3 linked regions of the Nothobranchius furzeri genome follow. The protein of the gene in region 2 binds, or shares a complex with, the protein of the main gene of each other region. Links are inferred from orthologs where the notes say so. Each region holds a gene or a part of one and is shown on either strand. Other genes may lie near its edges. The genes, in order: mapkap1, mtor and deptor.

What was found.
Region 1: mtor (region 2) and mapkap1 share a complex: the UniProt entries of both Homo sapiens proteins name them as parts of the mechanistic target of rapamycin complex. The link is inferred for Nothobranchius furzeri from reciprocal best matches to the Homo sapiens genes MTOR and MAPKAP1.
Region 3: the proteins of mtor (region 2) and deptor are in contact, whole or in part, in a cryo-EM structure (PDB 7PEC), measured with the Homo sapiens proteins. The link is inferred for Nothobranchius furzeri from reciprocal best matches to the Homo sapiens genes MTOR and DEPTOR. Residues at the interface, in NP_001373429.1 of Homo sapiens: Met304, Gly305, Phe306, His1494, Cys1498, Trp1501, Gln1525, Asp1527, Ser1528, Glu1530, Glu1531, Cys1534, Met1535, Ile1536, Arg1538, Arg1547, Gln1554, Leu1556, Leu1559, Gln1562, Cys1563, Lys1566, Arg1683, Leu1685, Asp1686, His1687, Lys1710, Ile1711, Phe1714, Gln1715; in NP_073620.2 of Homo sapiens: Arg54, His56, Leu57, Lys58, Thr59, Tyr60, Pro61, Val101, Arg116, Lys119, Asp121, Gly122, Thr123, Phe124, Lys131, Ala132, Arg135, Arg138, Lys142, Glu177, Gly178, Glu179, Glu185, Cys304, Asn305, Lys307, Gly335, Asp336, Ala337, Val338.

Annotation. Positions count from the first base shown.
Region 1 is NC_091746.1:37,017,383-37,019,741, forward strand, and holds the end of mapkap1 (target of rapamycin complex 2 subunit MAPKAP1), read left to right. Parts: intron 1-138; coding exon 139-236; intron 237-1,239; coding exon 1,240-1,362; 3' UTR 1,363-1,804; downstream 1,805-2,359. UniProt on the Homo sapiens protein: Component of the mechanistic target of rapamycin complex 2 (mTORC2), which transduces signals from growth factors to pathways involved in proliferation, cytoskeletal organization, lipogenesis and anabolic output.
Region 2 is NC_091755.1:52,431,951-52,435,607, forward strand, and holds part of mtor (serine/threonine-protein kinase mTOR), read right to left. Parts: intron 2,382-3,657; coding exon 2,259-2,381; intron 2,066-2,258; coding exon 1,883-2,065; intron 1,803-1,882; coding exon 1,668-1,802; intron 93-1,667; coding exon 1-92. UniProt on the Homo sapiens protein: Serine/threonine protein kinase which is a central regulator of cellular metabolism, growth and survival in response to hormones, growth factors, nutrients, energy and stress signals.
Region 3 is NC_091745.1:40,951,195-40,954,851, forward strand, and holds part of deptor (DEP domain-containing mTOR-interacting protein), read left to right. Parts: intron 1-859; coding exon 860-1,042; intron 1,043-3,657. UniProt on the Homo sapiens protein: Negative regulator of the mTORC1 and mTORC2 complexes: inhibits the protein kinase activity of MTOR, thereby inactivating both complexes. DEPTOR inhibits mTORC1 and mTORC2 to induce autophagy.

The sequences.
Region 1 (2,359 bases), on a different chromosome or scaffold from region 2:
AAGTGACTGGAGGGTAAAGTTGTTAACAGGGATGCTGCATCCTGTCTGAGATGGGACTTATTTGTTTTAGAGCTGGTGGACTCCACACAACCAAGAGAGTTGATGATGTGCTTTTTCTGTTGTTTTCTTGCCTTACAGGTCATGCTATATTTAAACTCACCTATCTGAGCAACCATGACTATAAGCCTCTGTACTTTGAGTCTGATGCTGCTACGGTCAATGAAATAGTGCTGAAGGTGAGTTTTTTCTGACTCTGACTGTAACCTGCTCCTGTCTGAGGACAAACACTCACATTTCTCTACTGCTGTGGAAGAAACTCATTGGTTTAAATTGTTTACCTAAATGGTAAATGGCCTGTGTTTGTTATAGCGCCTTCTAGAGCCCTGGAACCCCCCAAGGCGCTTAACAACACAATCAGTCATTCACCCATTCACACCCTGGTGGTGATGAGCTACACTGTAGCTACAGCTACCCTGGGGCACACTGACAGAGGTGAGTTTGGTCCCTCCAACCACCACCAGCAGCAGGCAAGGCGGGTTAAGTGTCTTGCCCAAGGACACAGCGACAGACTGAGCGGGGCTCGAACCTGTAACCTTCTGATTACGAGGCGAGCACTTAACTCCTGTGCCACTGTCGCCCCAACAGGAAGTTGAGCCCAGGCCTGACAGATGTTTACAGTCTGATGTCTGTGCGTCCATTTGGAGCAACTCTTCAACACTCTAATTCAGTTAGGCTTTTTTATCACATGTTCTTTAATTAAAAACGTCCTTAATGAACATAATGGACAGTGATATTTGTAAATGGGACTGAAATGCTGCTTTCACCAAAGTGCTGCAGCTGGACTCAGGTCAGAGGAATGTTGCAGCTCATGGTGATAATCTGGTTCACCAGAAAGTTAAAAGAATAATTATTTTCCTCATTATTTTGATTATTTGTTTAGTTTGAGGTTTTCTGAACCTTTGAGGATAACCAGTGGTGGAGTATTAAAGTCCCACTCTGGCTGTTTTTGTTGAAACCACTTATGTCAAATGTACCTTGAGTGATTTTCATAAAAATGCCGTCATCCATCATCCACAGCATCCCTAAATATCCGGTTCTTTCTGCTCTGGGAGACCATTTTCCAGTGATGGAGACGGTTCAGATGTGATATTCTTGAATAGATATCTGAGCAGAACACATTCCATCATCACGCCATACATGCTATGACTGAAGCAGTTTTGTGTTTTGGGGTTTGCGTAGGTTAACTACATCCTGGAGTCTCGGGCCAGCACCTCTCGGGCTGATTACTATGCCCAGAAGCAGAGAAAGCTCAGTCGTCGGACAAGTTTCAGCTTCCAGAAAGAGAAGAAGACGGGTCAGTAGACAGAAGCTGCTGGTGCAGACCTTTTCCTGACCATCTGTCTCTCTGATGCTCCTGATCCGGAGCTGGAGACCTACAGGATAACAGGCAGGTTTTCCTGCTTTCGTTGATCCAAGCTGGAGTCTCTGAATCTCCGCAAGGGAGCAGATCACGTCAAAACGGAAACTTAATTTCAACAGACTGAAGAACTGTGGACAGTTTGGCTGTTGTGTAGCAGTCAAGTATTTTGTTCTCTCACTGCCTCTGTATTTAAATTCTGTCTTTCAAGATGTATTTGTAAAACTTCTACAAGTTGGTCGAGTTAGCCCAACAAACAGATCACAGCTACAGGCAAAAATCTGCTTCTGTTCCTTCTTTAACCCACTGGAGTGGGCCTGTTTTTATGTACTGTTTAAAAACATTTTCTATTCAGGAAATGAAATATTACAAACCATACTAGCTCAACTGCTTTGAATTACCTTCTTTCTCCAGTCCTCCTTCTGAAAGCATCGTTTTAACCATCTGGTACCTGCACCAGACACCTGGGTTATTTCTGGCCCTACGCTTTACCATCACCTACAAAGCTACTATTTCTTTTCATGAAAATTAATTAAGAAGCAGCTGAGATGGGTTGGAGAAGCATGAGATAACCCTGCAGCTAACTGGCGAAAACTTTTGCTCATCATTTTAACGGATGTTTAGAATCCCAGCGAGGGTTTAAAGGCGATCTGGAAAGTCTACCAGTAGTGTTAGAAATGTGTTGCTTCCATTGACAGCCCAGTGAGAGACTGGTTTAACTAAATGCTTCCAGACATTTGGAACGAACTAAAGACAAACTCACTGAGACTTAATGAAAATGAATTCAGAGGAACAGGACATAAACGGCATTTTTAAATTTTCCAACTGTCTGTAGAGAATGACACCAGTAATTTTATAATAATCCCATGTTTAATTAAAATAGAGATGTTTTGATTCGATGACCATGAAGGTTCAGTACAGTGATGCACAGATCCTGTTCTC
Region 2 (3,657 bases):
TGGTTGGGGTCGTACGTGCCAGGTACAGCGAGCTCCAGGTCCCGACACATCAGCAGCTTGGGAGACACATACTGCAGCTCCAGGGAGGTGAGCTGTAGGGAAAGTTGATGAATTTATTTTAGAAACAGATCATTAGTTTTCAGTCTGTTTTGCACAAAAAGAGAGCCCAAAGCAAAATGCATTTGTGGACTCGGACACTGGAAATGTGGAATTTAAGGTTTTATCTCTGGAAAGTTGTCTCAGAAACTACCTCCATGCTCCTGCAGCCATCAAATCAGAGCCTGAAAGACTATTGAAAGAATTTCAAAGTTAATTTGTAAACGTTGATTTACATTGACTGCATATGGTTACGGCCCCAACTTGCTCTAAATCTGCTGTATGGATGCGTCCTGGCGATGATTTATTCCTATGACGATACCCCAAGGAAGAATATTTGCACTGCTCCCAGCGTGTTATTATACAGCTGCGCTGCTCATGCTGCGGACTGTAATGTCCCTGCAGGACGGCCGCGCCGCCAGCAAGGCCACGTCACGATGACAAATCAGATTACCATCTCCATTTATTATATGGAGTAAGAGCTGCTGACAGAAATATTTTTAATGTCACCCCGACGTTGTAACGACGGTGGTGAGGAACGGCATCAATCTTTTTGATTTCTTTCCCATTTCAGAGGCTAATATTTAAGTGAAATCTTTTGACCCATGATGAAAGCAAAAGATTCAATTCAATTCAAGTTTATTTATATAGCGCCAAATCAAGACAAGAGTCGTCTCAAGGCACTTCACATAATAAACATTCATGATGACTAAAGTACTTACATCGCTAGCCACGATCAGGCTCATTACAACACTAAATACAATATTAAAATGGTGCTTCAGGTGCAGGTGGCTTTAAAGATAAAGAAGGAATTGAAAGTAAATGAACGTGTTTTTACCAGTACATTTTTGATGGTCTTTAGTATGAATGAATGAATGTTTTGTGAGTCTTTTTTAAAGGGAAGAAAATCTCTCATGCTCCTGTTTTAGTGGTAGAGGTGCGTCAGAGGAGTGTGTCGGCGGAAAGAAAAAGGATTACAAGTTTTACTCATTAATATTTATGATATGCAAACATCTTGCCTCTGATTGGCTAACAGTAACATGATTATTAATGACTTAGTTTGCTCTAAAACATCAATGTTTTATCTCCAAAGAAAAGACAAGAGCAAGAGCTTCTTCTGTTCTTTTTCTCCTCACGAAGCTCACAGGATCGTTGGGAGCGTTTTGAGCCTCAATTAGATCTCAAATAGGAAAATACAAGAAAGGCAAGAACTTTAAAAAGAGTTGTCAACCTCTGAGAGTAAGATGGTGAATTACTGGAGTAAAAAAAGAGAGACGAGACAAAACTGCAAAAAACAAATACGATACTATTAAGACACTGCGATTAGACGAGAGATATTACACATTTTCTTGGTATTTTGTATCTCTAACAAGTCGCCAACATGCTTTGCCAAATGCCGTTTCATTATGTTCTGCCATTCCTTGAACCTGGATAAGATTCCTATCCCGTCACATGTTGCCACTTTTCCTCATGACTATATTTTCTACCTGGAAAAACATTAGCCGTACATATTCCTACGTCTGTGTTTGTGATGTAAAGATGGTTTGCGGCAGCAGCCTGCGACAACTCACCTGTGGTAGCTGTTTGGAGATGCGCCTGAATACGTGGTAGTAAAGGTCCCAGGCCTGAGTCAGGTCTTTAACGTTCCCAGAGCGCATGTACTTCCTGCACCAGTCCTGAGCCTCCATCAGATCTCTGCCATAAGCCTGAAGCATGCAAACAACATATTAATGAAAGTCATGCAAGGCTGCACCACATTTACCTACTACACTAAGGCAAAACCAACCTGATTAAAAGAGGTCTCTTTGAGGGTCTGTGGCCCCCTCTCCATCATGGCATGAAGCGGTTCCAGCACAGCAAACATGCCCCTTACGTTGCGCTCACCAAAGTAAAGACGAGAGGCTTCCTCGAGGCCCTCGTGCCACATCTCATGCCACAAGATAGCGACTCGGATAAGCTCTTCACTCACCTGAATGAACAAGGACAACAAGTAAAAGGTCAGCCTGCTCTGATATTAATTCCAGCTTCTGAAACGACACGGGGATTTTTTTCTTTCATGTTACATAAAACATATCTGCTCAGATTTTCTGCAACTGACGCAGAAACCTTGTAAACAAACCCATTTTTAAATGTAAAGAACAACTCTGACTGCATTTCTCTACCATCATAGCTTGCTGAACCAGGGTGTTGCAGTGTTCACACATGTTCTTCAGGATCTTGTTAGCAGCGTTGTGTCGGGCCGTGGTGGTCGACTTCGAGGCCACGGTCAGTGGGTAGATTAAAGCCTGGTGAATGGAAACACAAACACTGAGCCTTGTTTTTACAGGTGCTGGCCAGTAAATTAGAATATCATCAAAAGGTTGAAAATATTTCAGTAATTCCATTCAAAACGTGAAACTTGTACATTATATTCATGCAATGCACACAGACCAATGTATTTCCAATGTTCATTACATTTAAATTTGATATTCATAAGTGACAACTAATGAAAACTCCAAATTTGGTATCTCAAAAAATTAGAATATTCTGAAAAGGCTGAATATAGAAGACACCTGCTGCCACTCTAATCAGCTGATTTACTCAAAACACCTGCAAAGGCCTTTAAAAGGTCCCTCAGTCTTGTTTTGAAGGCACCACAATCATGGGGAAGACTTCTGACTTAACAGCTGTCCAAAAGACAATCATTGACACCTTGCACAAGGAGGGCAAGACACAAAAGGTGATTGCTAAAGAAGCTGGCTGTTCGCAGAGCTCTGTGTCCAAGCACATTAACAGACAGGCGAAGGGACGGAAAAAATGTGGTAGAAAAAAGTGTACAAGCTCTAGGGATAACCGCACCCTGCAGAGAATTGTGACGACAAACCCATTCAAAAATGTGGGGGAGATCCACAAAGAGTGGACTGCAGCTGGAGTCAGCGCTTCAAGAACCACCACGAGGAGACTCATGAAAGACATGGGATTCAGGTGTCGCATTCCGTGTGTCAAGCCACTCTTGAACAAGAAACAGCGCAAGAAGCGTCTCGCCTGGGCCAAGGACAAAAAGGACTGGACTGATGCTGAGTGGTCCAAAGTTATGTTTTCTGATGAAAGCAAGTTCTGCATTTCCTTTGGAAATCAAGGACCCAGAGTCTGGAGGAAGAGCGGAGAAGCACAGAATCCACGTTGCATGAGGTCCAGTGTAAAGTTTCCACCGTCAGTGATGGTGTGGGGTGCCATGTCATCTGCCGGTGTTGGCCCACTCTGTTTCCTGAGGTCCAGGGTCAATGCAGCCGTCTACCAGGAAGTTTTAGAGCACTTCATGCTTCCTGCTGCTGACCAACTTTATGGGGATGCAGACTTCACCTTTCAATAGGACTTGGCACCTGCACACAGTGCCAAAACCACCAGCACCTGGTTCAAGGACCATGGTATCCCTGTCCTTGATTGGCCAGCAAACTCGCCTGACCTTAACCCCATAGAAAATCTATGGGGTATTGTGAAGCGGAGGATGCAATACGCTAGACCCAACAATGCAGAGGAGCTGAAGACGACTATCAGAGCAACCTGGGCTCTCATAACACC
Region 3 (3,657 bases), on a different chromosome or scaffold from region 2:
AGTTTAAACAAGTTGGACTTTGACCTGCAGGTATCTTTTCCTGCTCTCGTACGGTTCATTAGCGACCACTTTTGTAGGAAGTTTCTCCCGAGCGGCTGCCTAAATGAGTTTTTGCAGATGTCACCACATGACAGAAAAATGGACTTGGATCTAGAGTGTGATGAGATTAGACTGCTTAGAAGTTACATGGCTTCATTGCTGAAGGGTTTATTTTCTCTAAAAGCAGGTTGGAAGAAAAAAGACTCATTTCTGGTGATTCAATGTTTAAATTTCTTCTTGTTAAATGCCAAACTGCACTGACACTTCATCTTTTCATGTAGATGCATCCTAATGGAGAACTATAAAGGCTTCCTTCACCAAAACTCTGTTTTACAACAATAAATAAAGTGATTCCAGAACCTCCAACAAAAGTAAAAGTTTCTCTGTTCTCTCACGCCCAGCTTGAGGGGGAAAGATGGTTTAGGGAACAAACTACTTGGATTATGCAAACTTAGGAGAAATTCAGAGGTTACATTTTACTACTCAACTTCAGGAAGGAAAAAAAGTCTTTAGAGAAAATGACAAATGTGTTGTAAAGACCAGTCGTCATGTGATTCAGCTTTTTCTGCTCCTCCGTCTCTTCTGGGCCCTCAATGAGTCCATCTGTTCTCTTGTTTCTCATTCACTTCCTGTCCTCAAGCTCCAAGCAGCTGCTGCAGAACTGAGCAGCTCCAGAGCAGAAAAATGTAGAGACACACACACACACGCACACACACACACGTACATTAACAGGTCTATTAGCTTTCATTTCCACATCCGTTTCTAACTTCCTAATACAAAACCTCCTCATTACCTCATGTCTGTTTTTATGATTATTCAGTCACCAACAAGCATCACTTTGTCGACGGACTTCTTCTCTACCAGTTTCGCATGAACTTCCGGCGGCGGCGGCGTTTGATGGAGCTTCTTCAAGAACGCAGCCGCAGCATCCCTGAGAGTTACGACAGTCCCTTCTGTCTGCGTAAACAGCACTCGGATGGAGGGAACACCAGCTTCCTGTCAGGTACATATATGGACATGTAAAGTAACGAGTTGCTTTCTACTCCTCTGCCCTACTGGTTGAAAGTGGAATTACAACTGCCGTAAACAACCTTGCTGCAGCCTGCTGTAGCTAATACTAACAATGAGCTAAAAATAGCATGAGCCAACTAGTACTTATATAAACCAAGAAGTAAAAGAGCCACACTATTGGAACTGAAAAAAAAAATTATATTTTTCCAGCAGCAACAAAGCCAGGTCACCATCAGTCCGTGATTTTGTAGCTTCCTTTAGCTCCTGCTAACTAGTGTAGGGTGTGTCGATGTTCACTCTGGTTCTTAACCTCCAAAGTTATTACTCTCTTATTTGTCCTTCCAGGCTCCACCACGATCCCAGCAGAAGCAGCTAACTTCTTTTTTTCTTCTTCTTGAGCTTTTTATTGACGATCGGCAAACTGAAAATGCTAACCACTAGCATCACAGCTAACAGCTGTGAAGCAGGCAAAGAGTACCTCTTAGGACACCTACCGGCTCCACAAAACAATCAAGTGCAGTCTTTGGTCAGCTGAGGGCTGCAGAGTGGTGTCAGATATAAAACTGGCCATGTTTCTAACTCAACAATCACTGAGATAAATGATAAAACTCAAGCTTAACGGTGTGGATGACTGAAAAAACAAATTCTAATGATTATTTCTGATTATAATTAGTCACTGAGTTTTTCACACAGGCTACCCCTATCTCATTAGCATTAGCTTCTGATAGAAAGTAGAAGATGAAATGCTAGGATTTGACAAGTCTCACATATCTATGTCACACTGTCGTGCCCGCCCACAGGAGGGCTTTTTAAAACATTTTGCAGCAAGGAGAGAGAGCGGAGAGTGTCTTTGTGGTGGTGACTTAGCAACATGGCTTAAGACATTCTGTTAGCCAATCAGAGGCAAGGTGTGTGCATATCATTAATAATAATGAGCAGTCCTGATGTTTAAGACCACCTCTGCACCAGCTAACTTCTGCATCTCAGAACAGGAGCATCATAGCTTTTTTATTTTTCTAATGACTCATAAGGCTTTGATTTACTCTAGAGAACACTACAAATGTATTGAATAAATGAGTGAATCACACCTTTAAAGTAGAAAAAAACAATCTGTTGTTAAACAGGAAGGACATCTGTTGTCTTATTTGGAAGCCATGTTTAAAAGCCGGAGATTATCTGTGTTTTTGACACGTTTACTTCATGTTTTTTATTGTTTGTCGACTCCGATCCATGAAAACGGACACTGTAATAATTCTGGTGGGCTGGACTCATGTTCCTGTTATAAGGTTACCAGGGCAGCTCTGTTTGTGTTGCTAGGTGGACTCTCGACTCTTTATCACATCTCCAAAAGGACGTTTCTCAGCTGTAGTTGCTTGTGGTTACTTTGGTATTCACTCTTTAATCAGAAAAGTTTGAGTGTGTAGGAGTTTGACAGAAATAATCTCTAGCATCTACTGTTGTTGTTGAACACTTGTGGAACATGCTTTTATTGTGAAAGGGGTTTCTTTGCTCATAGTTGCTTGTAAACAAAAAATAAGATGCATCATAAAAGTGGAACTGGGTTGTTTGAATCAGCAAGTCGTGGTGGAAAAAGCAGCAGTGGAACAACAAATGTTTTCCGTCTAGCCAGTCGTGATCAGTTGAATCTGGGAAGGAACTCATGTGAAATCAAACCTATTTTAGAAGTTTCAGGTAATTCTGTAGCAGAATTTATTATGAAAAGCTCATAAAGAAGTGAAATGACTGATAAAAGCTGCCAATGCAAAAGCATTTGTAACAAACAACATCTTACATGAAAACGTGAGGTTCATCAGGAATATCGCCCACAGCTGATGGAATTCCTCATTACAAACACGGAGATTCTGGTGCAGCTAGTGAGGAACGCTGCTCTGCTTTGGGACTCAGACGTAAACATCTGGCTAGGTGGATTTCATAAGCAGCTACTTCTGCACCTTTCAAAATGTCTTCATAATATTTTTATTTAGTCCGATATGATGCTGAGTCATTGAGCGTGTCTCGACGTTGGCTCATTCATCTTTATCGTAGCTAAAGATCAGAGCTTCACATAACAAAAGAACTAGCTCCAAGTGCAGTTGTTGTCATTTTGAAACCGTAAAAGGTGAAAGATTCCTAATGTGATCTTATGCACAGATCTAAGTCTTCTTCTGAAACAAAGGCAGAGCAGCATTTTTATTTGAGTAGAATGAATAAAATACATTTAAAAAGCTGCAGGTCAACCGTTCTACAGTAGCCCTAAACCAGGGATTCCCCAAGTGTGGTGTGCGCACCCCTGGGGGTGCGCGAAGTGTAATGGCTGCGGAGCTCAGAGAAGTCTGTCATATGTCACCATTAGCGTAGCCAGAAACTCATTTGTGGGCGGGCCTAAGAAAAAGTAATGCAATTGAAAACAAGTGTATTTTGCACGCGCGCGTGCCCTAGCTTCATAATAACAATGCGCCGAGCTTCAGCACTCTGGCCTGTGCACGCCGATATGTTCCGTATTTGATCATTTTTAACGGTGTTGGAGGAATCTGAAGGTGGTGAGTCATTCTGGCAGATTGTAATTAACACCTGTCTCATGCAGCTGTTCTGACGTTGTAAACCTCA